Linked DNA regions of Elephas maximus indicus. The protein of the gene in region 1 interacts with the protein of each later gene in a pairwise test. Links are inferred from orthologs where the notes say so. Each region holds a gene or a part of one and is shown in the gene's direction. Other genes may lie near its edges.

Region 1 (7,598 bases):
CTTGGTGGGCCCGAAGGTATGACAGCTGGGGGCTGTCAGTGAATTATGCTCAAAGGTTTGAGTGGCATCTCTTCACGGCCACCATGGCAAAAAGTATATCCACATTTTAGATAGAGCTATTGGGCCATAGAATCCCTCAATATTGCAATCGAGGCTTGAATTTTTTCTTCAGTTCTTTCAGCTTGAGAAATGCCGAATACGTTCTTCCCTTTCAGAGTTTTAACTCCAGGTCTTTGCACATTTCATTATAATACTTTGTCTTCTTGCGCTGCCCTTTGAAATCTTCAGCTCAGCTCTTTTACTTTGGCATTTCTTCTATCCACTTTAGTTACTCTACATTCATGAGCAAGTTTCAGAGTCTCTTCTGACATCCATTTTGGTCTTTTTTTTCTTTCCTGCCTTTTTAATGACCTTTGCTTTCTTCATGTATGATGTCTTTGATGTCATCTGACAACTTGCCTGGTCTTCAGTCATTAGTGCTCAGTGCATCAAATTTATTCCTGAGATGATCTCTAAAGGGAAAATTCAAGCTTTGAGTTGCAATATTGAAGGACTCTATGGGCAAAAAATTGAATGATTCAGGAAGCATCAAAGGAAGATTGAAGGAATACAGAGCCACTTACCAAAAAAAAGTGGTCAACAGCCAACCATTTCAGGAGACAGGATATGATCAAGAACCAATGGTACTACAAGAAGAAGTCCAAGCTTCACCGAAGGCATTGGCAAAAAACAAGGCTGCAGGGATTGACAGAATACCAAATGAAATGTGTCAACAAATGGATGCAATGCTGGAAGTGCCCACTCATCTATGCCAAGAAATCTGAAAGACAGCTACCTGGCCAACTGACTAGAAGTGATCCATATTTGTCCTCACTCCAAAGAAAGGTGATTCAGTGGAATGTGGAAGTTATCAGACAATATCATTAGTATCACACGCAAGTAAAATTTTGCTGAAGATCATTCAAAAATGGCTGCAGCAGCACATTGACAGGGAACTGCCAGAAATTCAAACTGGATTAGAAGAGGACATGGAATGAGGGATACCATTGCTGATGTCAGGTGGATCTTAGCTGAAAGCAGAGAATACCAGAAAGATGTTTACCTGTGTTACATTGACTGTGCATTGACAGTGTGGATCACAATAAATGATAGATAACATTGGGAAGAATGGAAGTTCTAGAACAGTTAATTGTGTTCATGTGGAACCTGTACATAGACTAAGAGGCAGTTGTTCAAACAGAACAAGGGAATACTGCATGGTTTAAAATCAGGAAAGGTGTGGGTCAGGGTTGTAGCCTTTCATCATATTTATTCTATCAGTATGTTGAGCAAATAATCTGAGTAGCTGGACTATATGAAGAAAAACGTGGCATCAGAATTGAAGGAAGACTCATTAACAACCCGTGATTTGCAGATGACACAACCTTGCTTGCTGAAAGTGAAGGGTACTTACTGATGAAGGTCAAAGACTATAGCCTTCAGTAGCTACTACATCTTAACATGAAGGAAACAAAAATCCTCACAACTGGACCAATAAGCAACATCATGATAAAAGGAGAAAATATTGATGTTGTCAAGCATTTCGTTTTACTTGGATCCACAATGAACACCCATGGAAGCAGGCGTCAAGAAATCAAACGATATATTGCATTGAGCAAATCTGCCGCAAAAGACCTCTTTAAAATCTTAAAAAGCAAAGATGTCATTTTGATGACTAAGGTGTGCCTGACCCAAGCCATGGTTTTTTTCATTCACCTCATATGCCTGCAAAAGCTGGACAATGAATGAGAAAGACCAAAGAAGATGCATTTAAATTATTGTTTTGGCAAAGAACGTTGAAAATACTGTGGACTTCCAGAATAACTAACAAATCTGTCTTGGAGGAAGTACAGTCAGAATGCTCTTTAGAAGCAAGGATGGCAAAGCTTTGTCTCATTTACTTTGCTCATGTTATCAGGAGGGGTAATCTCTGGAGAAGGACATCATGTTCTGTAAAGCAGAGAGCCAGTGAAAAAGAGGAAGACCCTCAACTAGTTGGACAGTCAGAGTGGCTGTAACAATGGGCTCAAGCACAGCAACGATTGAGGGGATAGCGTAGGATGGGGCAATGTTTTGTTCTGCTATGCGTAAGGTTGCTAGGAGTAGGAATCAACTAGATGGCACCTAAGAACAACAAATTGGTGCCTCTTTTTTTTTTTTTCTCACAGTTATGGGGTTTATTAAGGAAGTAAGAGGTTGCAATTCAGGTTCAGAAACACTCTATGATACTGTTCTCCCATCAGGACAGCCTCTTCCCAGCCATGCTCACAGGCACACCTCTCCCTGGCCCTCATGCTCTGCCCAAAGGCACTCAGCTTTCACTCTCCATGGGCTAAGAAGCCCACTGTGCTGTCTCCCGTGAGTCTCTCCTTTCTTGGTGGTGGTGAGTTCTTCTGTCCTGCCTCTGGGATGGCTCATTTCAAACCCAGCAGAATGGCAAAACTGGCCAACCCCTTTGGTGGGCCACAGTTACCCTATCACACAGTCCTGACCAATCGCTTGGGTGGAAGTTGCAAGGTCATGTGAGAAAGTCCACTCATTGTCGGAACTGAATTGATGGCATCTAACAAAAACAATTTCTTGTGAACTTACATGACAGGACTGATTCTTAGATATATGAATTCATTTAATCTTCACAATAACTTCATAAGAGAAACATTAATACAACAAATGGGCACCTCTTTATTGGAGTTGCTAAGGGTTCTGCCATCTTCAGTCGAAACTGAAAGAAAAGAGAGTGATCAAGGGGGAAAGTTGGTTCTGAGAATTTCCTTGGAATGAGCCTAGGGTGTTGTGATGCAACTTAGGGAGTATCTACCCACTTCATGCAAAAAAAGGGTGTGCTTCTGGAGAGCTACCTGGACCATGGAGAAAATGTATCACCTGCAGCTTGGGACATTTGTGAACCCAGAGATGGGAGTCTGACTCCGGCATGAAAAGCTTCAAGGAGAGAGGCTGGTCAGAGCTGCCTGTGGCCAAAGCCTGAGCAGAGTGTGCCTCAGGGACACTGGCCTGCAGTATTAGTGTGATGAGCAACAATGCCAAGTACTTTCCATGGGACAGAGTGGACACGGTGGAAGGTAGCTGGATCTGAACCATCTCAAAAGGACTGCACTCGAGAGGCTTGCCTGCCAGGGCACGGCAACACCCACCGAGGGTCTATGTGAGGTGGACCACCTGAAGGAGATGCTGAAGTGAAAGCTGCAAGTGATCAGCACCACGGCCTGATTCAGTGGGAGCTTCCCTCACCCCTGCCATCCTGGAGGATTCAGTCTTAACCCAGTCAGTGGGGAGGAGGCAGAACAAGGAAGGGAAAGACAGGCTTCTTTCCCCTTCCCCACTACAGGCGTCTGAGCTTGGGTCAGGCTGGGAGCTGGTGGGCATGGGAGGGGAATAAAGAAGGGGCAAATTGAATGAAATTAAAGTTTTGATTTGGATTTGGATTGGACTGGACTTTTTAATACCAGAGTTTTATTAACACCTGAAAGTGATAGGAAAAGCTATGAAATCTGCCCTAGATTCTTCCAGAAGAGAAGGAAGATCTGATAGAATACATTGTAAAACACAGTGCTGTGGGAGAGAAAAAAAAAGGTGCTATTTCACGTTGTCCTTTCACTAAGATCAGCTTGTTAAAAAATATAACTGATATAAAGTATTGCTTAATACCCACCAGGTTCACTGCTTAAGGAGCCCTGGGTAAGCGCTGGGCTGCTAACTTAAAAGTTGACAGCTCCAGCTCCGTGGAGAAAAGACCTGCCAACTTGGTCCCATAAAGATTACAGCCTAGGAAACCTAGGGGGCAGTTCTAACCTGTCGCATGGGGTCACTATGAGTCAGAATCGCCGTGAGAGCAACGGGTTTGGTTTTGGTCTAGGTGCACTGTTTAGGGGAAGCAAGAGCATTTCAGGTAGGGCCAGAAGACCCTGCAAGAAGTCATTAATGAAGCCATTTATTCCTGAGAACTGTCAAAAATCGCTGGAGCTCCTTGAAGAGTGTTAGGCACATTTGGTGCTTATTAGACACAGAAATAAACCTGATTCTAGAAAGAAAAGCCCGCCTTTTCCTCCAACAGTTTGTCGGAGACCGCATCTGGGCTCCTTGTTGTGAATGAGGGATCCCCCCGCCCTCCAAGCTCTTCCCAACGCTTTGCCTAAATTCCTCTTGCTTCACCCAATTCCAACCTGTTCGGTCTTCGTCCTAAGAGGAAAACAGCAGATCGCCCTCCTCGAAGCCCTCTGCCTTGCCACCCCTCTCCTCAGCCTTGCTTCTCCTTTCTCTCCCCTGGGGCCGCCTAGCCGCTAGGGGACCGCGGTGGCGCGGCTGGGTGGCTCCAGGAGCCGCCGGACGGTGCGGACGCGAGCGGAGCTGCGGGCGGAGGCTCCGAGGGGCCGGCAGAGGGCGCTGTGGCTCGCGCTGGGCGGCCTGGGTGCGCGGGGCGCGGGCAGGGAGGGGCGCGCCGGGCGGCTGGCGGCGCCGGGCCTCGGCGTGCGCGTCTCGGGCCGGCCAGGAGGGGGTGCGCGCCTCTGCTGCCCGCGCCGCCCGCCCTCCCTTCCGCAGCCGGCGGGCTGTCACCGAGGGCCGCACCGCGCGAGCGAGAGTTGCCGGCTGCGCGGCGCGCTCCGAGGCTCGGGCTCCGCCGCCGGCCCCGCGGCTCCTCTTTGTCCGGGGAGGCGGCCGAAGCGCGGTGGCTGCGACGGCCGAACCGGGCGCGCCCGGCGTCCTGCCCTGGTCCCCTGGTTATCCCCCGGCTCCCCTGCGCTGGGGCGGGGGCGGCGGCCTGGGCGGTGCCCGCGCAGAGGTGAGTGCGGGGGCGCAGCGGGGCGCTGGGTTCCCAGGCGCTCCCGGCGCTGCGTGCGCCGCGGCGGGCGTGGGTGGTGCGGGCGGCAGTTGTCAGGGGCTGTCTCCAGCTGGGGTGGCGTCCCTGGTTTCTCCACCTGCGCCCCCTCTCCTGGTTCCCTGGCAAGTTTGTCCACCCCCTTTGGCTGCAATCCGTGGCCGGTCCGCAGAGTCCATCCTCTCCGTAAATAGCAAACTGGAGCCGGGGAGGAGGAGGACGCGCGTCGGAGCCGGGTCGCCAGGAGAGGCTAGTTAAGGGCAGGAGTGGCCCCTCGGACATCTTTCTTGGCTCTTTCGGATCCAGGTGAGCACATTCTGTTCTGCGGTCTGCAGGGGTCGGTCTTGGCTCCGGTGCCTGCCTTCAGGGGACAGTGCTGAGACTGGGACAGAATTGGGAATGGTCGCAGCCGGTGCTCCGGAAAGCGCAGCGTTTTTTTCGGCTGTTCTGTCGTCATAGCAGTTATTCTTTCCTGCCCACATCACCTGCGTGGGCTGAAGTGTTGCAGCTCATTTGGCACCTTCGGGAGCTGCCGGGTTAGACTATCCCGTTTTAGAGGGGATGGTAGGTTAAACCGAGTGAAATCAGGTGTCCCCCACCCTCCTCCAGCTTTGGATAATTCGGTCTGTGTCTTCGTCTTAATTTAGTATGAATGTGTTACTTCCTTCGAGCTTTATAATGGTACGCAGTGAAGCGGTTTGCTACATCCATTTTTCATTCTGAGCCTGTGCACAGAGGAATTTCAGGCACACAAGTGATGTTACTACCATTCTATTTTAAATACAAACACGGGAAGAAGTACTCTTGGCAGGGTCCCAAAGGCGCCTGTACTCTCTGTTATATAAGTGCTTTAAAAAAATATTTGCTCTTTGGTTCAGTTATGAAAAGTGATTACCAGAGGATCTAAGAAGAGGGAGCGAAGATGTCAGAACCGTCATTTCGGCTTTAAACCAAAACTTTGCTTGAAGACAAACGTGGACCCAGCTCGAGCCACCCTTTTAAGATAGTAGGAAGCCCTTTTTTCTATAACATTAGGTAGAGACAGAGTTGCAAAGCATTAAACAATAAAGTAGGTTTTGTAAAGACTACTGCAAAACTTGATGAGAATCTTTGACTACTTATTGATGTTGCTGTGGGTGCTCTGGGGTCCGTTTGGACTCATAGCGACCCCATGTGGCAGAGTAGAACTGCCCCATAGGGTTTTCTTGGCTGTTGCCTTTATGGAAGCAGATTATTTGCTAGTAATGAAAAAAAAATTCTACAGATATCGTTTATGGGTTTCAAATTATCGAATGATTTCATTTTGACGTGGTTGTGTGCCGTTGAGTCGATTCCGACTCATAGCAAGCCCATGTGACAGAGTAGAACTGTCCCATAGGTTTCCTAGTGGTTATCTTTATAGAAACAAATTACCAGGTCTTTCTCCTGCAGAGATGCTGGCTGGTGGCTTCAAACTGCTGACCCTTTTGGTTAGCAGGCGAGTGCTTAACCGCTTTGCCACCAGGGTTCCTTTTATTTTAATATCTGATGAAAGCATAGTAATTGGGAGTTGCCAGTTATTCAAGACCTGCCCCCTCCCCCAATAAAACCTCTCTGCTCACATTTATGGTTGTTTTTTCAGGTAAAAAGAAGCCAAAAGTAGAAACTGTCAGATATACCAATATCTAGGTGCCTCCTCCCCAGGCCCTGCCATCCCCCGCCCCCATATCGTTTTACCTGGTTTGGGGTAGTGCTTTGGCATCTGCAATGTCAAAAGCTCCCATGGGGATTCTACCATGCATCCAGGGTTGAGACCCATTGGATAGCATTGTTGTTGTTGTTGGGTGCTGTCAAGTTTATTTTCGCTCACGGTGACCCAATGTGACAGAGCAGAACTGCCCCATAGGATTTTCTAGGCTGTGATCTTTACAAAAGCAGATGGCCAGGTCTTTTCTCCCGCAGAACTACTGGGTGAGTTAGAACCACCAACCTCTCCGTTAGTAACCCAGCACTTAACCGTTGCACCACCAGGGCTCTTGTTTTGGAAAACATTATTTCTTTTCATTTGTCAGTTTGTAGCCCAAGGTGTGGCTGGTAAAAGCCCAAGGTATGGTTTAAGTAAACAGTTGTTGTTAGGTGCAGTCCAGTCGATTTTGACTCCCAGCGACCCCATGTGACAGAGTAGAGCTGCCCTATAGGGTTTTCTAGGCTGTGATCTTTGTAGGAGCAGATTGCCAGGTCTTTCTGCCGTGGAGCTGCTGGGTGGGTTCAAACAGTAACTTTGTGGTTAGCAGCCGAGTGCTTAACCGTTGCGTCACCCGGGCTCAGAAATATGGGAAGAGAAAAATGGTATTGGAAAGGTGGTACGCTGAAGAATTTTACGGCATGTATACTTTCATATAAATAATGTTTCTTTTTTTTATACTTTCGTATAAACAATGTTTCTTGTTTTTTATTTTTTAACACTGCACAGAGTAATTTATCAGGGACTTGTAATTCCGTGTAGAACACTTGCCAGAGTCGTAAGCGACACGTTTCATTGTGCACAGCTCACAGCAGTGAAAGCTGAGTACTCAAAAAAAAAAAACCACACTCTTGGCCGTCGAGTCGATTCTGACTCGTGGCGACCCAGTAGTACTCTTTTATGTTTACATGATCAGAGCATCAGGTCTTATGAAAGATAATTTTTCTATTAAATTAAAAACTCGTTACGTTAGTATAGACTAGGAAATGAAGTACATAACAC
Region 2 (7,760 bases), on another chromosome or scaffold:
ACTGAGGCCCCCAGCCTACATCTGCACCACCTTGCCAGCCATATGAGTGAACCACCCCCCAAGCCTTCGGATGAGATCCCATGAAAGACCCTGAGCAAGAACTGCCAAGCTAAGCCCTTTCTCAATTCCAGCCCAACAGAAACATGTGAAAGAGGAAAAAGTATTGTTGTGTTAAGCTGCTATATTTTGTGATGATCCCTTATGCCTAGGGACTGTAACAAATTCCAATGCCCAGGCTGCAACTCAGACCCTCTATCTGTATCTCTGGGAGAGGGGCCCAGGCAACAGGACACTCATGTGCAGCCAAGGTTGAGAGCCACTGAGAGAGCTACTCAGCTTGCAGCTTCTGTTCGGGCAGCCTTCACTGAGCCTCAGCCGAACCATCTCTCCTCTGGGATCCCACAAGCCCCTGTGCTGACCCAACCTGTGCCTGTGGCCATCTCATGCTTAATGCATGTTTTGTGTCTGTCTCCCCCACTAGGATGTGGGCTCCCTGAAAACAGAGGTTTCTGGTGGGTCCTTCCAGAGAAGTTCAGACGTAAGCAAACACATACAGAGAGAACACCCTTTAAATTAAATGAAACAAAATAGAATACAGCCACAGGATGCACAGGCGACAGAGAGCTGACATCTGAGTCTGATTTCATCTCAGTTTCGAGCTGAGTGGAGAAAAAACTGCCAAGGTCAGAGTTCTGGAGGGGGCAAATCCCACACACTGAAGGAGCCACCGGCCTGTCAACAGGGCAGATGCTATTGTTGCTCAAACATGCTGGGTCAGGATAAGACCGTGAGGATTGCTGGCTCCCTCTGATCCAGGCGCAGTTAATGACAGTTTGTCCTTACTCTTAGTCCTCCACCCCAGCTTGGAGGAGGGCAAGGACTGGGATGCTGTCAACCACTCTGGCTAGGCACCAGGCTCTTAGCACATCCTTGAAGGAGGCATCATCAATACGCTGTTGGCATGTGAAGATGCCCAGAGTTCTAGAATCCAATACGCCCAAATTATCTTTCTTCATATGGCATAATTTGGGGTCCAGGGGAAATCCCTTCCCCCCTGGTTTGCTTTACTTTCTTAATCTGGGGAATGAGCCTCAGGTGGTGGTGTTTTGTTTTGCTTGGTTTGTTGTCAGCTGGAAGGCATGCAGGACAGAGGAAAGCTTTGAAGATGCAAGGGTCAGCAGGGCCTTTCTCCAAGCATCTCAAGTATATCCCAACCCCTGATTAAAGTTGAACGATGTTTCAGAGAAGAATCAGACCACAACACCATTATCATTCCTCTTTTAATAACAGGGAGGTCAAGGTCTGGGAGGGACCCTGGCAATGTGCTCACAGGGTCATATGCTTTTGTAACACTTGCCAAAGTAAGGTATTTTAACTGCGCTCTGTTAAAGCCACCATCTCTTTACACTCCAAATTCTCTTTGTGTCAGATGACGTTGGGGTGGAGTTAAGCATTTTGGGGCTTTGGCTAAGGGGACATTGAGTTGGGGACACATTTAGTTTGGGTTTAGTGGGATATATTTAGGTTGTTTCCAGTCATTTTTTTTTTAATTATTTATTTGTTTTTATTTTGCTCTAAGTGAAAGTTTACAGATCAAGTCAGTCTCTCGTACAAAAACATATACACACCTTACTATATACTCCTGGTTGCTCTCCCCCTAACGAGACAGCACATTCTACCTCTCCACCGTGTATTCCCTGTGTCCATTTAGCCAGCTTCTGTTCCCCTCTGCCTTCTCATCTCCACTCCAGACAGGAGTTGCCCACATAGTCTCATGGGTCTACTTGAGCCAAGGAACTCACTCCTCACCAGTGTCATTTTCTGTCTCATAGTCCAGTCCAATCCCTGTCTGAAGAGTTGGCTCTGGGAAAGATTCTAGTCTTTGGCTAACAGAAGGTCTGGGGACCATGACCTCCACGGTCCTTCTAGTCTCAGTCAGACTATTGAGTCTGGTCCTTTTATGAGAATTTGAGGTCTGCATCCCACTGTTCTCCTGCTCCATCAGGGGTTCTCTCATTGTTGTGAATATTTAGGATCTCTGGTGGCATAGTGGTTAAGAGCTTGGCTGCTAATCAAAAGGTCAGCAGTTCAAATCTACCAGCTGCTCCTTGGAAACCCTAGGGGGCAGTTCTACTCTGTCCTATAGAGTCACGTGAGTTGGAATGGACTTGATGGCAACAGGTTTGTTTTTTGGGGTTTTTAAAAACTTATTACTAACTGACCTGGTGTAGGAGCCCTGGTGGTGCAATGGTTAAGAGCTACAGCTGCCAACCAAAAGGCTGGCAGTTTCAATCCACTAGCCATCCCTTGGAAACCCTGTGGGGTAGTTCTACTCCATCCTATAGGGTCGCTATGACTTGTAATCAATTTGAAGGCAACGGGTTTGTTTTTTTTTGACCTGGTTTAATAATGGCTTCCAGGAATACGATTACCCCTTGAACTATCCTGACTCAATTGGTGTTGTGACGTGATAGTGCAGGGTTAGAGGTCATATTTCAATATAAATGACCTTACATCACCCACACCAGAAGTATTTGGGTGCTAGAGGAGAAGTTTGAAATGTACGTATACATGGAGCCAGAAGGTAGTTTGTGGAAAGTATTACATGGGTATGTCAAAGAGGTAATAAAGAATGTTATTTTTCCGGGTTTTGTAACATTTGCGGGATTTGTCAAGTTTTAAAATTTTGTCACTTGTGGTAGTTTCTTTTATCTTTCTAACCAAGTATTCACTTTATGACCTAATTATATATTCTTTGCTTTAAAGAATTCCCCCTAAATTGTATAAAGCTTCAGGCTGCACAAAGCCTGGATCTGCTTCTGCTCAGCTTTTTCCTGTGTCTTATAGGAGCACAGGGCCAGCCTGGCCTTCCCTCACCACTGCTGCCACTGCCACTACCAAAGAGTTCTTGCGTATTTATGAAGGAATATAACTGGCTCTGGATTCAGACAAATCTTAATTTTCTCACCTATAAAATGGGAATAATAGTAGGATCTCTTTCCTCAGATTGCAATGAAGTCATGGCTCAGATTGCAATGAAGTCATGGGAGATAATCTTTGTAAAGCCTCTAGCACAATCTAGCAGGGGATACAGTGAGGGCTAGGTTTGATATTTACCTGGTGCTCACAGTTACAGCCAGACTCCTCATTTATGACAGTTTCTGTTCTGATTTGATCAGTGCCCAAGCCAGAGTTCAAAATCATTGTTAGCTGCTGACATACATAAATGCTCCTTTCTACTCCCTGCCCCCACAAGGTATGTATACATAAGCGCTCAAACATTGACAATGCAATGAAAGAAGGAAAGACACCAGCCAGGATAGAAAACAGAGGCAGGCTCCAAATTGAGCAATGCCTTAGACTCAAACAGTGACTCACAGTTATAAAATTAACCTTGAAGAGCCCTTCATTTATTCTAACCTCATAAAAAAAGAAAACAAAAGAAGTTTTCCTGACAGTTTTAAGTATTGGGAATTTGGAAATTCCACAAAAGCACAAAGAAGAAATTAACGGCTGTTAATTTTTTTTTTATACATATATACATGTGACATCACGATTATAAACTTAATGCCCATCTATGGGGCAGTTCTACTCTGTACTACCGGGTCGCTATGAGTCGGAATTGACCGGACAGCGCTGGGTTTTTTGGTTTGGGGCATGCTGTACATACTGCTTTGAAACATATTTTAAGTTTAATGCATTCTTAGCATTTCCCCTGTATCTTGAAACGTCTTTTAACTATACCATTTTTAATGAATGCTTAACATTCTTCATCAAAAAATGGGGATAAAAAAAATTTTTTTTAATTTGATCTCAGGGAAACCCTGGTGTCATAGTGGTTAAGTGCTACGGCTGCTAATCAAAGGGTCAGCAGTTCAAATCTGCCAGGCGCTCCTTAGAAACTCTATGGGGCAGTTCTACTCTGCCCTATAGGGTCGCTATGAGTCAGAATCGACTCGATGGCACTGGGTTTGGTTTTTTTGGTTTTATTTGATCTCAGAGGATTATCCTGAGCACTGACAAAGTTATACCATGCCAAGCCGCCTGGCATGTAAAAACTCAATAAAAATCCAAAAAAACCCGTTGCCCTCAAGTTGATTCGGACTCATAGAGACACTATAGAACAAAGGAGAACTGCCCCATAGCGTTTCCAAGGAGAGAGGCCGGTGGTTTCGAACTGCCGACCTTTTGGTTAACGGCCAAACGTTTAACCAGTGGGTCACCAGAATGGACTTACATAATCAATCCCTTTCTGCTGGTCATTTAATTTGTTTCCACTGTTTTGCTATGGGGAATAACGCTGAGCTATATTAATCTTTGCTCGCATTTTGATCATTTTCTTAGGACAAATTTCAGGACTGCAGTGCACGTCATTTTAAAACGAAGCCACTCATCGCTGTGCAGCTAGAGGAACAGGGGAAGAGACTTGCCCAGGGTCACATGGCAAGTTAGCTGCAAAGGAGACTAGACACACTCCAGAAGCCCCAACCACTGCCTCTTTCAGGTGGGGACCCTCAGGACTTCCGGTCTGGGGAGCGGGGGGGAGGAGGAGGAACGGAAAGAACCACGCGCCCGGGCGACTGCAGCCGCCGGAAGAACGTGGGGCCGACAGGGAAGGGGCGGGGCCGCCGAGTCCGGGCGCTCAGTTCACGAGGTTGACGCTAAGTCGTCGCTTGGCAACGCGGGCGGCGCGGCGTTCGAACGGAAGCGGGGGACCAATCAGGATTTCCGGGGCGAACCATTCCGGCCGAGGGGGGTGTGTGTGTGTGCGGCGCGCTCACTTCCCCTTCCGCGGATCTCTGGACCTACGCTCCGGCCGGGGCCTTCGGAAAATCAAGGCCCCCGGGCCATCTAGTGAGACGGCAGCTCAAAGAGGCCCTCGGGGCTGGGGTCTTCCGGGCCGCGTTGGGAACGGTCACTCCCAGCCCGGGTCAGAGCTGTCAGCCTCTCCAAGACCCACGCTAGAGGAGCGACGACTCGCGTAGCACAGGCCCCAGGTGAGGGCGCGGGTGGTCTGGGGTGCGAGCCGGGGTCCAGCAGGGGGTTACGGTTCACTGAGCGCCTGCTGTTGGCGTCCTCACTGAATCGTACCTGCAAGAAGGAGGTGTTACCCCATGTCACAGGTGAGGACGCTGAGGCTTAAGAGAGTCAAGTGGCCCAGCCCGGAGAGGTCTGGCAGAGAATCCCATTCAGGTCTTTCCACCTCATCTCGCAGCCTAGATGTGCCTAGAAAGGCCCAGACGGCAACTGGTGGTCACTTCTTAGCTTCTTTGGGGCACGGCTCGTAGACCCCCTGGCTGGATCACCTCCTCCCTACAACTAGGCCCCTCCTCCCCGTCCCCGGCGTCTTTGGGTCTGTAGGGTGCCCCTTCTGGGCGTCTGTCTTCCCTTCCCCAGAACGCCATGGGTTGGACTAAGTGTTCATTTGGGGATCTTCTGCCTGCATTCTTTCTTACAACAAAAATTTATTGGCTTCACAGCCCTGCCCTCCCCCTTGCCTGTTTTGTCTCAGTAGCATTTGCCCCATCTGTTGTCCTATCTATTTCACTTATTAGTGAGTTTATTGTCTTCTCCTCTGGAATGTGACACAGGGCAGGGGCTAGAATGAGGCAAGTGAGGCACTCAACCTCTAGTGCAAAATTTAGGGGTGCCCAAAAGCTCAGTAATTAAGATAAATAGTATTTCAGTGAACCATTTTTAAAAGTAAAAATGCAGTGCATGCTAAGCAAAATATCACTGTTACAGGGTTAGTAACAGTGCTGTGCCAGGCAATATTGGATCCAAAAGGAAGAATTAGTATTCTGTCTTTATAATCACAGAAATGATGTAAATAACCACATATCCAAATGTAAAATTTCAGTGTGACAAGGAATATAATAAGAAGGAGGAGAGAGCCATGAGGGAGTTTCACTGGGGGCCCTGAGCTAGTCTAGGCATGGTCAGGGAGGGTTCCTGGGAAAAAGGGATGTTTGAACTGAGATCTGAAGGTCAGGGAAGCTTTAGGAGGAGAACAAGTGGTGGGCAGGTGAGAACATCCCATGCAGAGGGAGCATCAAGGGCAAAAGTCCTGAGGTGGGAGCAAGCTTGAAGAGGGTGGAGATGTGGCCAGGAAGAAGAGGAGCGTGGTCTCCAGGGCAGGCCAGAGCTCTGTCCCTGGCATTTGGGCCCTTTGAGAATTATTGCTTAAGGGGTACCTTGTAGGGTTGCTATGAGTTGGAATCGACCCTAGTAGCTTTCTTTCAAGTTCCTTGGCGTTTTGTTTGTTTATTTAAGTGTTGTGTAAGCATCACCACTATTTATTTCCAAAGCTTTTTCATCATCCCAAACAGAAACCCTGTACCCATTAAGCAATAACTCCCCATGTCCTGCCTCCTCCCAGCCCCTGGTAATCTCTAATCTACTTTCTGACTCTGTCCATTTGCCTATTCTAGGTATTTCATATAAGGGGGATCACACAATATTTGCTGTTTTGTGTCTGGCTTATTTTCAAGGTTCTTCCATGTCATAGCATGTATCAGAACTTTATTTTTCTTTATGGCTGAGTAATATTTCATTGTATGTGTATACCACATTTGTTTATCTGTTCCTCTGTTGATGGACACTGAGTTGTTTCCATCTTTTGGCTACTGTGAATAACACTACAGTGAACATTGGTGTACAAGTATCTGCTGGAATTCTTGCTTTCAGGTGTCTTGGTTATACACCTAGGAGTGGAATTGCTGGGTCATAAGGTAAGGTCATATTTAATTGTTTTACTGCATGTTATTCTGGTGGGAGGTCAACTTGCATGGCTTCCATGGAGTGTAGTTCCACCATCTCTGTCACAATTACAAGTGCTGTCCGCTGACTCAGCTGTCTCACTTCAGGTATTTCTTCTTGGCAAAATGACATAGGTACAGTGACACTGCAGCATGGTTTGTAATAGGAGGGACTGGACACACACTGGGTGGTGCAAATGCTTAACATGCTTGGCTACCAACTGGAAGGTTGGCCTTTTGAATCTATCCAGAGGCACCTCACAGGAAAGGCCTGGTAATCTACTTCCAACAAATCAGCCATTGAAAATCCTGTGGAGCACAGTTCTACACTGAAACACATGGGGTCACCATGAGTAGGCGTTGCCATGAGCGGGAATCGCCACAAACGAGAGTCAACTCAATGGCAAGTGGAACTGGTAGGCACAGTGCAGCTGTGAAAAAGGAGAGGCTGCTCTCTGGGTATTGATGGCGTACCCAGAACAACATATATTGTTGAGGAAGAAGGGCAAGGTTGAAAACAGTACACAAAGCCTGTTGCCATTTGTGTAAAAAAAGAGAAAACATGTATGTCCATACTTGCTTGTATCTGCCTAAAATTTCCCTGGAAAGACACACAACTACCTGGTCACAGTGGTGCCTACAGGGAGGGGAACTGGGTGGCTCCCCAGGACAAGGGCAGGAGAGAATTTTTTTTTACTCCATTCCTTTTTATAGGTTTTGAATTTTGAGCCATGTGAATATATCACCTGGTTGAAAAATGATACATATGTGATCACTATATATTATATATCTAATTGTGAGAACCACTGCCATATCTGTGGTCTGTCACTGACTTGCTGGGTGACCTTGGGCCAGTTTCTTCACAGCTCTGGGCCAAGGTAAGAAGCCATGATAGTGAGCCCCCAAAGGGTCAGAGGGCAATCAGGACAGAAGTGGGCTGTGGGTCTGCTTCACTTCTACCACCCCCATCCTCTGTGCCAGGCCCTTCCCTAAGGGTTTGCA
Region 3 (7,527 bases), on another chromosome or scaffold:
GGAATACTGATTGAGATGTTTCAACAAATGGATGCAGCACTGGAAGCGCTCACTTGTCTATGAGAACAAATGTGGAAGACAATTTTCTGGCCAACTGACTGGAAGAGATTCATATTCATGCCCATTCCAAAGAAAGGTTATCCAATGGAATGTAGAAATTATCAAACAATATCATTAACATCACATGCAAGTAAAATTATGCTGAAGATAATCCAAAAACATTTGAAGCAGTACATCAACAGGGAACTGCCAGAAGTTCAAGCCGATTTTGGAAGAGGACATGGAACGAGGGATATCATTGCTGATGTCAGATGGATCTTGGTTGAAAGCAGAGAATGCCAGAAAGATGTTTACCTGTGTTTTACTGACTATGCAAAGGCATTTGACTAGGTAGATCATAATAAATTTTGTGGATAACATTGGGAAGAATGGGAATTCCAGAACACTTAATTGTGCTGATGAGGAACCTGTACATAGACCAAGAGGCTGTCGTTTGAACAGAACAAGGTGATAATGCATGGTTTAAAATCAGAAAAAGCGTGCGTCAGGGGTGTATCCTTTCACCGTACTTATTCAATCTGTATGCTTAGCATATAATCTGAGATGCTGGACTATATGAAAAAGAATGGTGGCATCAGAATTGGAGGAAGACTCATTAATAACCTGCTAAAAAAAAAAAAATTTTTTTTTTTTTTTATATACAGGTGGGAAACCGTGGTGGGGTTATGGTTAAGAGCTTGGCTGCTAACCAAAAGGTTGGCAGTTTGAATCCACCAGGCACTCCTTGGAAACTCTATGGGACAGTTCTACTCTGTCCTTTAGGGTCGCTCTGAGTCAGAATCAACTTGAAGGCAAAGGGTTTGTTTGTTTTTTAACATGCAAATGGGAAACCCTGGTGGTGTAGTGGTTAAGAGTTCAACTGCTAACCAAAAGGTCAGCAGTACAAATCCACCAGGTGTTCCTTGGAAACCGTATGGGGCAGTTCTACTCTGTCCTACAGTGTCGCTGTGAGTCGGAATCGACTCGATGGCAGTGGGTTTGATTTTTTTTTAGTATACAAATGACAAAACCTTGCTTGCTGAAAGTGAAGAGGACTTGAACCACTTACTAAGGAGGATAAAAGACTACAGTCTTCAGTATGGATTTCATCTCAACATAAAGAAAAAAATCATCGCAACTTGACCAATAAACAAAGATCATGATAAATGGAGAAAAGATTGAAGTTGTCAGTGATTTCATTTACTTGGATCCACAATGAATGCCCATGGAAGCAGCAGTCAAGAAATCAAACAAAGTATTGCATTGGGCAAATCTGCTGCAAAAGGCCTCTTTAAAGTGTTAAAAAATAAAGAAACTTGAAAACTAAGGTGTACCTGACCCAAAGCCATGGTATTTTCAATTGCTTCATATGCATGTGAAAGCTGGACAATGAATAGGGAAGACTGAAGAAGAATTGATGCCTTTGAATTATGGTGCTGGTAAAAAATATTTAACATACCGTGGACTGCCAGAAAAAGGAACAGATCTGTCTTGAAAGAAGTACAGCCAGAGTACTCCTTAGAAGCCAGGATGGCAAGAGTTCATCTCACGTACTTTGGACATGTTATCAGAAGGAGCCAGTTCCTGGAGAAGAACATCATGTTTGGTAGAGGGTCACTGAAAAAGAAGAAGACCCTCAATGAGGTGGATTGACACAGTGCCTGCAACAATGGGCTCAAACAGCAAGGATTGTAAGAATGGTGCAGGACCAGGCAGTGTGTTGTTCTGTTGTGCATAGGGTCTCTATGAGTCAGAACTAACTCGACGGCACCTAATAACAACAAGAATATACAGTAAAACCTACAGAATCCAGAACCCGTGTAAGATGGAAACCTGTCAGAGAAAGAAAACTCAAAAATTTTTCACCAATAGACAGCTATAGAAAAGTGGTATGACTACACTCTTTCACAGGTGGAGAACTGGCAAGACTGGGAAAAATAAGGCAGTCCCCTAGAGTTCCAGCTCTCACAGGTTTCACTGTATATTGAAGTGTGCATTGGGAACTAAGAGGCAATAAATTGATAACTGATACAAGAACCTATGCTCAAAGTCTTTAGGTCTTTCGGCCTTTAGGACTCATGAGGTTTTGAGAATCTGACTCTAGACGGCCTATAGACCAAACTGAGAATTTCAGCTTGTATAATGAGACATTCTCTGATCAGCTATATATGTTCATTGCAAATATAAACAATACAGAAGGCTATAAACTGTACAGTGAAAGTCCTTGATAATGGGCATGGATTTACCAGAGACAAATACTGTTTTAACACTTTGCTATCTTTCCTTCCATACCAAAAAAACCCCAAACCCATTGCTGTGGAGTTGATTCCAACTCATAGCGACCCTACAGGACAGAGCAGAACTGCCAGGTAGGATTTCCAAGGAGGCTGGTGTATTGGAACTGCTGACCTTTTCGTTAGCAGCCTAGCTCTTAACCACTGCGCCACAATGTTGCCAATTGCCAATCTGACACAAAGGGTCCTTGCCTTTTCCTGAGTACCAATACACGCAAAAGACAAACTTTACCTTCGACAAGCTTTATTTTGCTTGAGTCAAGCAGAAGGAGTCAGCAGGGATCTAAGCCTCTCTAAAATACTGACTTGAAGAGGGAAGCAAAGCTAGGGCTTATATGGGTTCGGTGGAGACAGTGAAGTAACGAATATTTAGTGGGCTTCCTTCAAGGGGCAGATACTTCTCAGAATGGCGGCGCATGTTAATTAAGTTGCCGGCACATCTGGAATCCAAGATGGAACCCGCTGATGTTCAAGGTGGAGTCCTCTCAGCAGCTCTTGGCATCACTTACTATGGGATTATAGTGCAGGCGCACTGATCTTTGGCACTACATCACCATCTTTGGAGGGCTAAGGAAGGGTAAACAGTGGCCGCATTTTGTTCTTCTGAGCCTGTAAAGGGGGGAGGGACTAGAAAAACACTAAGAAGGAGAAAGTAGTTTACAGGTTGTTTCAGCCTTATTTCATGTTGACATGGTGTGGTTCCTATTTATCCAACTTCTAGATGGTAATCTTTTAACAGTGCTTTCCTTCTGCCAGCACAGTTAACCCTACCTGTCTCACCAAACCAAAAAAAAAAAAAAAAACCAAACCCAGTGCATCGAGTTAATTCTGACGCATAGCAACCCTATAGGACAGGGTAGAACTGCCCCATAGAGTTTCCAAGGAGCTCCTGCCAGATTCAAACTGCCAACCCTTTGGGTAGCAACCCTAGCACTTAACCACTATGCCACCAGGGTTTCCCCTGTCTCACCAGGGCTCCAATATTGGCAGCAAACAATCCAATAGATGTTCAATATCATGGGGTTGGCAACCAGTGTCACAAAACAATGTGTATTAATTGCTTAATGAGAAACTAATCTGCTCTATAAACCTTCATCTAACGTACAAATTAAAAAAAAGAAACAAATACATGTTTAACACAAGGATTCCATGCGGACTGTTTAACTTTTTTTCTTTTTTTTTTAACTTAATATATCAAGGTATCAATACGTCTTTCCAAGTCAGTATATACAGACTTCCTAATTAAAAAAAAATTAAGGTACAATATGGTTTGATTTGGGGTGATATCCCTCTCTAAAACTGTCCTTGATGTGGTAATATTTGGAATTCCTCCTTCTCTCTTCTCCCCCAGGCTCCCAGTGACTCTAGGCTGGAAGTCCTAAAGCTTAAATTTTCACACAAAGGTTCTCTTATTTCATTTGCACACGTCGAAAGTCTTTGGCGTCTCATACAGTTCTCCGAAGTTGGCAACCCCGTTCCCGGTTGGGGAAGGGTCTCAGACACCTCCGGGAAACTCACAGCGAAGCGCCACCCAGGTTGCAGGTTTAGCAACTCCAAGCCTTCCCCTGCCGACTCCTCTCCTCAGCCGCCCGCTGGTGACCTCTCTCTGCCCAGGCATCCAGGACCCCCCGCGTTACTGTCCCTGGCAGCACCCCTGTCCCCGCTCAAGACCCCGCCCAGCAGGAACCCGCGCCGCCAGCTCCGCCCCTCTAGGAGTCCACCCTCCGGTCCGCTCTCCACCTACACAGAACAAGCACCGTCAGCATCGCCCCGGACTCCACCCACCGCTAACTCACGCCGCTCACCTCGTTCCGGATCCGCCCACCTCACCCCTGGCTCCACCCAGAAGGAACCAGCACTGTCCATCCTCCCCACCCTGAGCTCCGCCCACTGGCTCCACCACCCGGAAACTGCGCCCCCTGACTCCGCCCACCCACCCCTGACCTGCGCGCGCCGGGAACTTGCGCTGCTCTCCCCGCCCCGAGCTCTGGCCGCACAGCCCTGGGCTCCGCCCCCCTCACCCGGCTCCACCACTCGGAAGCTGCTCCGCCCACCCCGCCCCAGGCTCCGCGCGCCGAGAGGTTGGGCGGCTAGCCCTACCCAGGCCCTGCCCTGACCCCGCCCACTCTTCCTAGCCTTGACCGCTCCGCCCTGGACTCCGCCCACCCGGCCGCTGGTTCTCGCAACAAGAACGAGGGCAGGCTCCTCCCGTGGCTCCTCCCCGCGAGCCCTCTGGATCGGTGCAGCTTGTCTGCCTGAGGCCCGGCCCCGGCCCCGGCCCCGGCCAGCCGTCATGGAAGGGGATGGTCCCTCTGCCGCCGCCTCGTGGTACCAGCCGGCCGGCCCCCCGCGGGAAGCGTGTGTCTACAGCAGCTGCTATTGGTGAGGGGAGCGGGCGCAGGTCCCCGAATCTCCCAGCCTCAGCCGGGCTCGCCTCGTCCAGGCCCCTCCTCTGGAGCTCGGGGCCTCCTCTGGAGCTCGGGGCCTCCACTGGCCGGTTTTCCTGTTTCGGAGTGGAGGGAGCGGGAACGGCAGCCCTTGCCGCTGGAGTACAGCGTGGGCAGTAGGATGAGGGGGATTGGTCAGGAATGGCAGAGTCGGTGGTGGTGCCTTACTTCTGGTTGGCGGTTTTTGGCTGGACTTAAGCAGATCCTAGTGGGAACGGGGAAGTTAGAGGCTGAGGGTGGAGCGCAGAGAACCCTTGCAAGCTACTGTGTGGAATCCTGTATGGTTTCAGATCGATGTGAGGGCCATTTTAAGAGTATAGAGGCACAGAGTTCAAAGCAATTTTCCGAGGGTTACCAAGCTAATAGCAGCCAAGAATCCAGTCCATCCCCTCTTGCACTAGAAACCATGGTCTTAACCACTGTGCTGTAACAATAATAACTGTTACACTTACATTGTACTTGCTACATGCCAAGCGTTGTTCTGGGTTGTTTATGTCGTCTAATTCTTTTGAGTCTCACTGGCAGGTAATGTTATTAAAACAAACAAACAAAGCAGTTGCCATTGAGTTGATTCCCACTCTTGACCCCACATGTGTCAGGGTAGGACCGTGCTCCACAGGGGTTTCAATGGCTGACTTTTGCCAAGTAGTTTGAGGTACTGTTGTTACACCCATTTTTTAAAATGAGGACATTGAAGTACAGAGGGGGACAAGTAATTTGCCTAAGGCCACCGTCTTAGTTATCCAGTTCTATAAAAGAAATACCACAAGTGGATAGCTTTAACAAAGAGAAATTTACTTCTTCACATTAAAGTAGGCTAAATGTCCAAATTCAGGGCATCAACTCCAGCGGAGGGCTTTCTCTCTCTGTCGGCCTTCTCATTACTCTTCCCCCAGACTCGGAGCTTCTCTGTGCAGGGACCCTGGATTCAAACAACGCGCTCTGCTCCCAGCACTGCTTTCTTGGTGGTAGGAGGTGCCCTCTCTCTGCTCGCATCCTTTTCCTTTTTGTCTCTTGAGAGATAAAAGGTGGTGCAGGCCATATCCTGGGGAAACTCCTTTTATATTGAATCAGGCATGTGACCTCGGTAAGAGTGTTACAGTCCCACCCTAATCCTCTTTAATCTAAAGTTAAAATCACAGAATGGAGGACAACCACACAATACTGGGAGTCATGGCCTAACCAAGTCGACACATATATTTGGGGGACACAGTTCAATCCATGACATTCTTCATTTTGGTCCCCAAAAAATCACATCCTTGTAGCATGCAAAGCATATTTATCCCATTATATCATAGCAAGTCTTAACTCCAAGTCCAGCATCCAAAAATTCCTCTTCATCTGTGAAATGTAGAATGCAAGTTATCTGCTGACAAAGGTACAATGGCAGAACAGGCACAAGCTAGACATTTCCATTACAAATGGGAGAAACTGGAGGAAAAGAAGGGATAACAGGCACCAAACAAGTCAGCAGAACACATTATATTAGCCCTAAAGTCTTTGAAAAAATCCTCTGTTCTCTGAGACCATTTACAAAATGGCTCCGCCCTCTAGACTCTAGGTATTGGCCACACTTTCTGGATCCTGAGGGGAGGCCCCTCTGCCCTGGGCTTCAGCTCCACCTTCCACGCCCACTGGGACAGCAACTCTGCTCCCTCAGCTTTAGGCACGCCATTCTCCTAGTCCATCTGAGTGGTGACTCCGCCTTTAGAAACATCAGAGGCCATGGCTCCATCCTTTGAAATCCCAGAGGTCCTGGCCATATCTTTTGAGACTGAGGCAGCTTGGCTTCTTGTGTTCCTTGTCTGTTCAGCTTCTGCTTCCTGGTTTCTTGGCTTCTCGGCTCCTAGGGCCTCACGCCCACATCTGCCCTTCTGGGGCAAGTGTTCCAAAGCTCTGTAGCTCCACTGGTAAGTGCCCGGAGGCACCCCACTCCTCTAGGAAGCCTCTTGTGCACAGGCACTCAGCTCTCTCTCTCTGTTGGTCTGCTTCAGTGCCATCTTGCACTGGTCTCTTGGTTCTGCTGCTGCCAGGTCTCTGCTGCTGCTGGTTCTCTGCTGCAGCCACTTCCCTGCTGCTGCAGTTTCTTTGCTGCTGCCGATCCTCTTCTGCTGCTGCTCCTCTATTCATTCACAGTTTCAAAACTGCTTCCACATTTTAGGTATCCGTTAGAACAGCACCCCACTCCTGGTACCAAATTTTGTCTTAGTCATCTAGTGCTGCTATAACAGAAATGCCACAAGTGGTTGGGTTTAACAAACAAATTTATTTTCATCACAGTAAAGTAGGCTAAAAGTCCAAATTCAGGGTGTCAGCTCCAGGAGAAAGTTTTTCTTTCTGTCGGCCTTGTCATCAATCTTCCCCCAGACTAGGAGCTTCTCTGCGCAGGGACCCCGGGTCAAAAGGATGCACTCTGCTTCCGGCACTCCTTTCTTGGTGGTATGAGGTCACCTGCTCTCTGCTTGCCTCCTTTTCCTTTATCGCTTGTAAGATAAAAGGTGGTGCAGGCCACATCCCAGGGAACTCCCTTTACATTGGATCAGGGATGTGATCTTAATAAGGGTGTTACAATCCCACCCTAATCCTCCTTAACATAAAATTACAACCACAAAATGGAGGATAACCACACTACTGGGAATCAATCCCATCCAAACTGATACACATTTTTTGGGGGCCATAATTCAATCCATGACAGCCACTTAGCTTGTGAATTTAGGAATGGGGATTTATAGGCAGAGCCTGGCTCT
Region 4 (7,092 bases), on another chromosome or scaffold:
CAGGGGACTGGGGTCTTCCTGCCCCCTGGGGCAGTCCCTGTAGCCACCAGGGTCTCCCGTCCTCCTCCTGGGGGCCCATTCCTTGGCTCAGTGGGGCAGCTGGTCCTTCTAGAAGTCCTCTGTCATCCTCCCCAGGGATGATCTGGGTTAGGGGCCTTCCCACGTGGGTGATGTGCCCTGGACTGTGAAAAGCCCTTGAGGCCGGGGCAGTCTCTGCCAGCCACTATGTCCCAGCCTGCTAAGTGAACTAAGCCCAGGAGGGAGCCGCTCTTCTGGGCGACTAGCCTCAAACCCAGGATCTCCTGATCAACCCAGCACCTATGGGATGGCCCAGGACACCTAGGGGCAGAGAATGGGTGCCAGCGTGGAGCGCAGTCCAACCAAAAAAAAACCAAACCCAGTGCCATGGAGTCGATTCCGACTCATAGTGATCCTATAGCACAGAGTAGAACTGCCCCATAGTTTCCAAGGAGCGCCTGGCAGATACAAACTGCCGACCCTTTGGTTAGCAGCCATAGCACTTAACCACTATGCCACCAGGCTTCCTGGAGCACAGCCCAGGAAGGCATTATTCCTAGACTCTTTCACCTTGCACAGCGGCGCTGAGGGAACAAGAAGGGCCCTGGCTGAGATGCCGGGCTGGAAGGAAGTGGAGATTGGGGCCCAAGGTGACCCAACAGCAACCCTGACTCCTGCCAGCCAAGGACAACACGAAGCAGCTGTCCCTGCTAACTGCTACCCACAACCCCGGGGTTTTGGGGACTGTTCTGTTTGCAACACAGCACTTAGTAAAAACTACCCTCTGGACTTATTCCGGGGTTCTGCGGAGGCAGCGGCACAAACCCTAAGTTATGTAACCCACTGCCGTGGAGTCGATTCTGACTCCTAGCAACCATACAAGACAGAGGAGAACTGCCCCACAGGGTTTCCAAGGAGCGCCTGGCAGATTCGAACTGCTGACCTTTGGGTTAGCAGCCAAGCTTTTAACCACTGCACCACCAGGGCTCCAACCATAAGTCATATACTATAGTGAAATCCGTGCAAGGGGGAACTCTGACAGGACTACTTTCTTTTTCTGGGTCTCCTAAGTTTTCTGCTTTCGACAGGGTGCAGTCTTACCACTTTTCTAACACTTTTTATTAGTGGGAAATATTTGAGTTTCCATTCTCGGACAGGTTTCTGCCTTACACAGGTTCTGGCCTTGACAGGTTTTCCTGTCACACCTAAGTAAATGGAGCTTGGCCCTTCCCCTCAGCCCTGCCCTGTCCAGCCTCCTCCCTGTTGTCACTAGAGACCTTTGAAGGCAGCACCTGATGGAACGCTGATTCCCAAGAATTTCACAGTTCCTACTATCCCCCTCCCCCAAAAAAGAAAAAACTGCCAGCCACATCACTGCACTACTCATTCCAAGCCATCAGCTAAAACCCAAAATCTTTTAATGTGTCTATTTATGGGAAAGAGCCCTGGTTGGTGATTCAAATCCACTCAGTGGCTCCGAGGGAACCTGCTTCCATAAACATTAAAACCTATTGCTGTGGATTCGAGTCGGACTCACAGCGATCCTGTAGGATGTGCAGAACTGCCCCACAGGGTTTCCAAAGAGCGACTGTTGGATCTGAACTGCCAACCTTTTGTTTAGCAGCCATAGCTCTTAACCACTGTGCCGCTAGGACTCCTGTAAATATTACAAACGCTCTCTTCTGTACCACACAGTCTGTGGCACTGAAGTTGATACACCACATTCCAGGGCCTGGGAGTCCCAGCTGGACCTCACACTCCAGCTCCGTGGCCCTGTAGGCTCAGGCGAGGGCAGTGATAACCGTCTCCTGGGTCTGTTCCAGCCCAGACAGGCTGAGTCTGCAAAGACGAGAAACATCTGGTGGAAACCAGTGCCCAGACAAGGTCCCTGAGCAGACACCCTGTCCCTGCCCACAGCCGGGCACACCCTCCAGGTACAGCCTCTGCCTCCAAGCCAGCTGAAGCCTGTGGAATGTGGAGGCCTCAAGCCCTGCCCCCTACCTGCCTCACAGCAGAGGTCAAGAGAGGACTAAGAAAGGCATTTAAAGGACACTGCTGCCTGGGAAGTGGATAGGCTCAGGGTGCCTGAGCTCTTGTGTCTGGTTCCCTCCCCTCACCCATTGCTTCAGGGCCTTGGACTGTGCCCCTTTTGGTGAGCAGCTGAGAATGTCCACTGTTTGCACCATCCAGGGACACTTCTGGTTTGCTACTAAGGGTCTTTCTGAGAGGACTATGTTCTCTTCGTGAAAATTCGAGTGCTTGTGCAATTTTCTGTATGTTACAGATCAATAAAAAGTTCAAAACACATCCAAAACCAAAAATTTGTTGCCGTCGAGTCGATTCTGACTCATAGCAACCCTACAGGACAGAGGAGAACTGCCCCATAGGATTTCGAAGGAGCGGCTGATGGATTCAAACAGCCGGCCTTTTGGTTAGCAATGAAATACTTAACCACTGCACCAACTCTGCCTCCAGGGCTCCTCATAACACACTGGACCGTGAAATTGGCAGGGTGGCGTGCCCTGAGCTCTTCTGTGTGGCTCCATTCCATCTGCCCATTCATTCAGTGCCAGGGACTGACAGGGAGGGAAGGAAGGAGAGAGGGAAAGAATGGAAGGAGAGAGAAAGGAAGCAAGGGAGGGAGAAAGGAAAAAAAGAAAAAAGGACCCTGCTTCTGAGCTGCTACCATTGAATCAAACTTGACTCATGGTGACCCCCCGACGTGTCAGAACAGAACGCGGCTCCACAGGGTTTTCAGTGGCTGATTTTTCTGGAAGTAGGTTGCCAGGCCTTTCTTCTGAGGCACGTCTGAATGGAATTGAACTTCCAACCTTTCAGTTAGCAGCTGAGTGTGTTGACCATTTACACCACCCAGGAACCATTCTGGGTTGCTGGTAAGGGTCTTTTCTTACCGGACTGTGTTCAGTTTGTGAAAACTCATTGGGTGATCGTGGCCCCGTGGTTAAAGCCTTTGGCTGAGAACCGAAAGGTCGGTGATTCGAACCCACCAGGTGGTCTGCACAAGAAAGATATGTCAGTTTGTAAAGATTTACAGCCTACAAAACCCTATGGGGGCGTTCTACTCTGTCCTATAAGGTCGCCATGAGTTGGAATCCAAGGGATGGCAATGGGGTTGTTTTCTTTTTTACATCAAAAAAAAAGTTCAAAGTATCTTAAAACATCTTGCCCTCACAACCTTACTTTCTGGGTGGGCGTAAGGGGTGTATGTCAGTGTGTGTAATATGGGCAGCTTATGACCTCCTGCTCATCTCCAAGTCCCCAAAGGTCAGCCCTGGGCCTTACAGGGGTAAGGTGGGGAAGAAGCCCCTCGGTGGCCTGGGGGAGGTGGGCGCCAGTGCAGGTGGAGGGGGAGCCCCGCGGGGGTGCAGCAAAGGACCCCAGGCCCCATAAAGGCCACCGGGCTGGTGCCGGGAGTTAAGGGGCGGGGGCAGAGGGCCCCCAGGTGAGCCTGGAGGGGCGACAGGCGGAGCCTCGCTCGGGGTCGGGGCGCCCTAGCGCGAGGAAGGGGCATCAGGCCGCCCCCCAAAAACGTGTTTCCCTTTAGCAGGGTCTGAGGGTTTCACTGGACGACGCGTCCGCCCCCCATTAAAAGGCTCCATCCTGGGGGAAAAGCGGGGGTCGGGAGCACGGCAGCTTCCGGTCCTTGGCCTTGTCTCCCTTCCCGGGGATGCGCGCGGGCACCCGGGCCTGGTGGAAGGCCGCGGACGGCGCGCCCCGGGGGCAGCCCCCCAAACCTCCCCGCTCCCAGTGACCTTGAAAAGGTCACTGCAGCCGAGCCCCCCGCCCGCAAGGCGCATGGGCGGGACCCGGCTCCCAGCATGCCTCGGGGCCACCGAGCGCAGGAAAAGGCGGGGCGTGGCGGCCGCGCGGCCAATGGGCAGGACGCGCGGGGGCGCGGGGCGGGGCACGCGGCGACTCCCGGCATCCCCCGGGGGCGCGGCACGCGGCGAGGGGCGGGGCGCCGGTGGGCGCGGCGGCCAATAGGCGCTGCGGGCGGGGGCGGGGGCGGGGCCTGGGCGCCTTAGCGGCTGCGCGGTAGGCGGCCCGTCCTTTCGGTCCCGGCGGCGGCGGCAGAGCCAGCGGCGCCCACCTTCCCTGCCCTCGCGCGTCCACTCCAGTTCTCCGCCCGCTCCGCAGCGCGCTCTGCCACCATGACGGAACAGGCCATCTCCTTCGCCAAGGACTTCCTGGCGGGCGGCATCGCCGCCGCCATCTCCAAGACGGCCGTGGCCCCCATCGAGCGGGTCAAGCTGCTGCTGCAGGTGGGCGGCGGGTGGGCAGGACCCCGGGCCCGGAGGGAGCCGCGCGGACAGGGCGCGGGGGACCGGGTCGGGCCGGCCGCGAGCACCGGGACCGGCACCGGAAGTGCAAGGCCGCGACCGCTTTGTCCGCGCGCCGGCGGCTTCCGGGGCGGGGCGATGGCGGGTCACGTGGGGCGTCGCCGCAGGCGTGGGGGCGGGGACGGGCTCCGGGCCGGGCGCGCATGCGCTCTGGCGCCCGGGTCGGGAAGGGCAGAGCGACTCTGGGGCGGGCATGTCGTGACCTTGGGAGGGTGACCGTCCCTGGGGAGCTTTGACCCCCAGCTGGGGCCACCTCCGCCCCCAGTGCCCACCCTTGTGCCCTGTGTCCCGGGGCAGGGGGTCCTTTAAAGTGCATTTTTCTCCTTGAACTTGAATCGTGGGTTGGGGAGCCCAAAGAAACCCCACGTGTGCACACGTCCTTCCCGAGCAAGGAGGGACGCACAGACAGTGTCTGGAAGGGGCTCCTGTGGGTTATTCACATCGGCTGTGGATTTTGACAGGTGTACGTGGGCGTAGATGATCTTGACAGTTCTTAGAACCGAAATTTGAGCTCAGAAAGTCAGTTTCTGGGTCAGTCTCTTTGACAACAGTGAACTCGTTCTGGGCGATGCAAACGGTGAAGCGCTAGACTCTTAGCCATCCGGTTGGAGGTTCTAGTCCACCCCGAGGCGCCTCGGAAGAAATGCCTGGTGATCGGCTTCCAAAAGGTCAATTATTGGAAACCCTGCAGCCCACGGTTCTACTCTGACACAACACGAGGTGTCCCTGAGTCGTGGTCAACTCCACGACAATTGATTTCCAGGAGTCCCCGGGCCGGAAAAGAGGAACCCTGGTGGCACTGCGCTACCCAAAGGGTTGGGGGTTCAAACCTACCAACTTCCACAGGAGGAGGATGGGGTTTGCTTTGGTAAAGATGTACAGCCTTGGAAACCCTATGGAGCAGTTCTGCTCTGTCCTTACCGGGTTGCTGTGAGTGGGAATCGTCTTCGATGGCAGCGGATTTGGTCTGGTCTGAGGTGGTGAAAAGGGTTACTGGGCTCAGCTGCTAAACAAAAAGTTGGAGGTTTGCATCCCTGCCCCCGAGGTCTCTTGGAAGAAAGGCCTGGTAACCTGCTTCTAAAAAACCAATCACTGGAAACCCTGTGGAGTGCAGTTCTACTCTGACACAACGTGGGTTGAAATGGGTGCAGCAGCATTTGTTCACAGGAGTTACTGTATCTGTGATTTCAGACTTGAACAGCACATCGTATGTGGGAGCTGGCAAAAGCTGTCTGTCTAGGAATTCATCTCCATCCAAATGGAATTCACTCAAAAATTAACTCTCTAAGCACAGATTTCTGTTCTGGAAACTCAGCAGTCTCTAGTCCCAAGCACACCTGTGGCGGCGGGGGCCGGGGGCGGGGGGATTCTGTTTTCATTACTGTCTTTATGCAGCCGCTGGTCCGCAGTGGACTTGTAACCTCCTTTATCTTTACTTTTGTGCTGGTCTGCTTCCGTAAAGGTGACAGCCTTGGAAACCCTGTGGGGTGGTTCTGTTACATGCTATATGGTCTGTGTGAGTAGGAAGTGGTGGCCTCGGGTTGATGTTGTTACCAAAAGTAACAAGCTACTTATAAGACGGTTGTTAGGACAGAATTTCTAAAGTTACAGTAACTGCTTATAAAGATTGGGCCTCCAGACTTATGGTTGAATAAACCACTTGCCCTTGATTCCAACTCAGGACAACCGCATGTATATCGGTGGAAATACTTACTTCCATAGGGTTTTCAGTGGCTGATTTTTCAGAAGTCGGTCACCAGGCCTTTCTTCTGAGGCACGTCTGGGTGGGTATGAAATGCCAGCCTTTTGGTGAACAGACAAACCTTTCACCATTTGTGGCACTCAGAGGCTCCCATGATGCAGGAGGGACCTAGAGATTCCCGCTTGATCAGGGGAGTTTGAACTGTCACGTCTGCGACACTGGTTTTATAAAAACACTTGTTGATTTATAAGGGCATTTCTGGGTTTAGATTCAGGCCTTGGTCTGCAGTGCCCTCACCATTCTGTCCTCTGGCTCTCAAGTGTTGTTGTTGTTAGGTGCCATTGAGTCGGTTGCGACCCTAAGCACAACTGAACGGAACACTGACCAGTCCTGCGCCATCTCGAGTACAAGACCTCCAAATCCTGCAGGCAGGGAACAGACATGCCAGTGACACTACATTTATAAAAAGTGCTTGTTCTTTGAATAAATCCCGCCCCCCCCAAAAGAAAATTCTCATCAGCCGATTTTGACTCACGGCAACCCTACATGTAAATGGTAGAATTGCTCTGTAGGGCTTTCTAGGCTGTAGTATTTATAGGAGCAGAGCACCAGGCTTTTCTCCCACAGCACCCCTGGGTGACTTAAAGTTGCCAGCCATTTAGTTAGCCGAGTACAAGCCGTTAGTGCTGCCATGGGTGTTTCTGGACAGACTGAGGCCTCACGGCGTCCTGTGCTCTGGCCCTCAGGTGTAGCCTCTGTAAACTGTCAGGACAGTGAGCAGTCAGGTCAGCGACATTAGTTTTGTAAGAACGCTCCTTTGTGATGCGTGCGGTGTCTGTGTGCGGACCGAGGGCTCACGGTGCCCTGTGCTCTGTCCCTCAGGTGCAGCACGCCAGCAAGCAGATCGCGGCCGACAAGCAGTACAAGGGCATCGTGGACTGCATCGTGCGCATCCCCAAGGAGCAAGGCGTGCTGTCCTTCTGGCGGGGCAACCTGGCCAACGTCATCCGC

The links.
Region 2: the proteins of MTUS2 (region 1) and FAM110A interact in binary tests that used the Homo sapiens proteins (3 or more experiments, as listed by UniProt). The link is inferred for Elephas maximus indicus from reciprocal best matches to the Homo sapiens genes MTUS2 and FAM110A.
Region 3: the proteins of MTUS2 (region 1) and NTAQ1 interact in binary tests that used the Homo sapiens proteins (3 or more experiments, as listed by UniProt). The two-hybrid records come from large-scale screens. The link is inferred for Elephas maximus indicus from reciprocal best matches to the Homo sapiens genes MTUS2 and NTAQ1.
Region 4: the proteins of MTUS2 (region 1) and SLC25A6 interact in binary tests that used the Homo sapiens proteins (3 or more experiments, as listed by UniProt). The two-hybrid records come from large-scale screens. The link is inferred for Elephas maximus indicus from reciprocal best matches to the Homo sapiens genes MTUS2 and SLC25A6.

The regions. Positions count from the first base shown.
Region 1 is NC_064841.1:61,236,428-61,244,025, forward strand, and holds the start of MTUS2 (microtubule-associated tumor suppressor candidate 2), read left to right. Parts: upstream 1-4,596; 5' UTR 4,597-4,837; intron 4,838-4,910; exon of another isoform or gene 4,911-5,179; intron 5,180-7,598. UniProt on the Homo sapiens protein: Binds microtubules. Together with MAPRE1 may target the microtubule depolymerase KIF2C to the plus-end of microtubules. May regulate the dynamics of microtubules at their growing distal tip.
Region 2 is NC_064843.1:38,838,853-38,846,612, forward strand, and holds the start of FAM110A (protein FAM110A), read left to right. Parts: upstream 1-4,756; 5' UTR 4,757-4,997; intron 4,998-6,687; 5' UTR 6,688-6,731; intron 6,732-7,760.
Region 3 is NC_064833.1:19,443,636-19,451,162, reverse strand, and holds the start of NTAQ1 (protein N-terminal glutamine amidohydrolase), read left to right. Parts: upstream 1-4,518; 5' UTR 4,519-4,626; coding exon 4,627-4,715; intron 4,716-7,527. UniProt on the Homo sapiens protein: Mediates the side-chain deamidation of N-terminal glutamine residues to glutamate, an important step in N-end rule pathway of protein degradation.
Region 4 is NC_064846.1:180,063,071-180,070,162, forward strand, and holds the start of SLC25A6 (ADP/ATP translocase 3), read left to right. Parts: upstream 1-4,078; 5' UTR 4,079-4,190; coding exon 4,191-4,301; intron 4,302-6,963; coding exon 6,964-7,092. UniProt on the Homo sapiens protein: ADP:ATP antiporter that mediates import of ADP into the mitochondrial matrix for ATP synthesis, and export of ATP out to fuel the cell.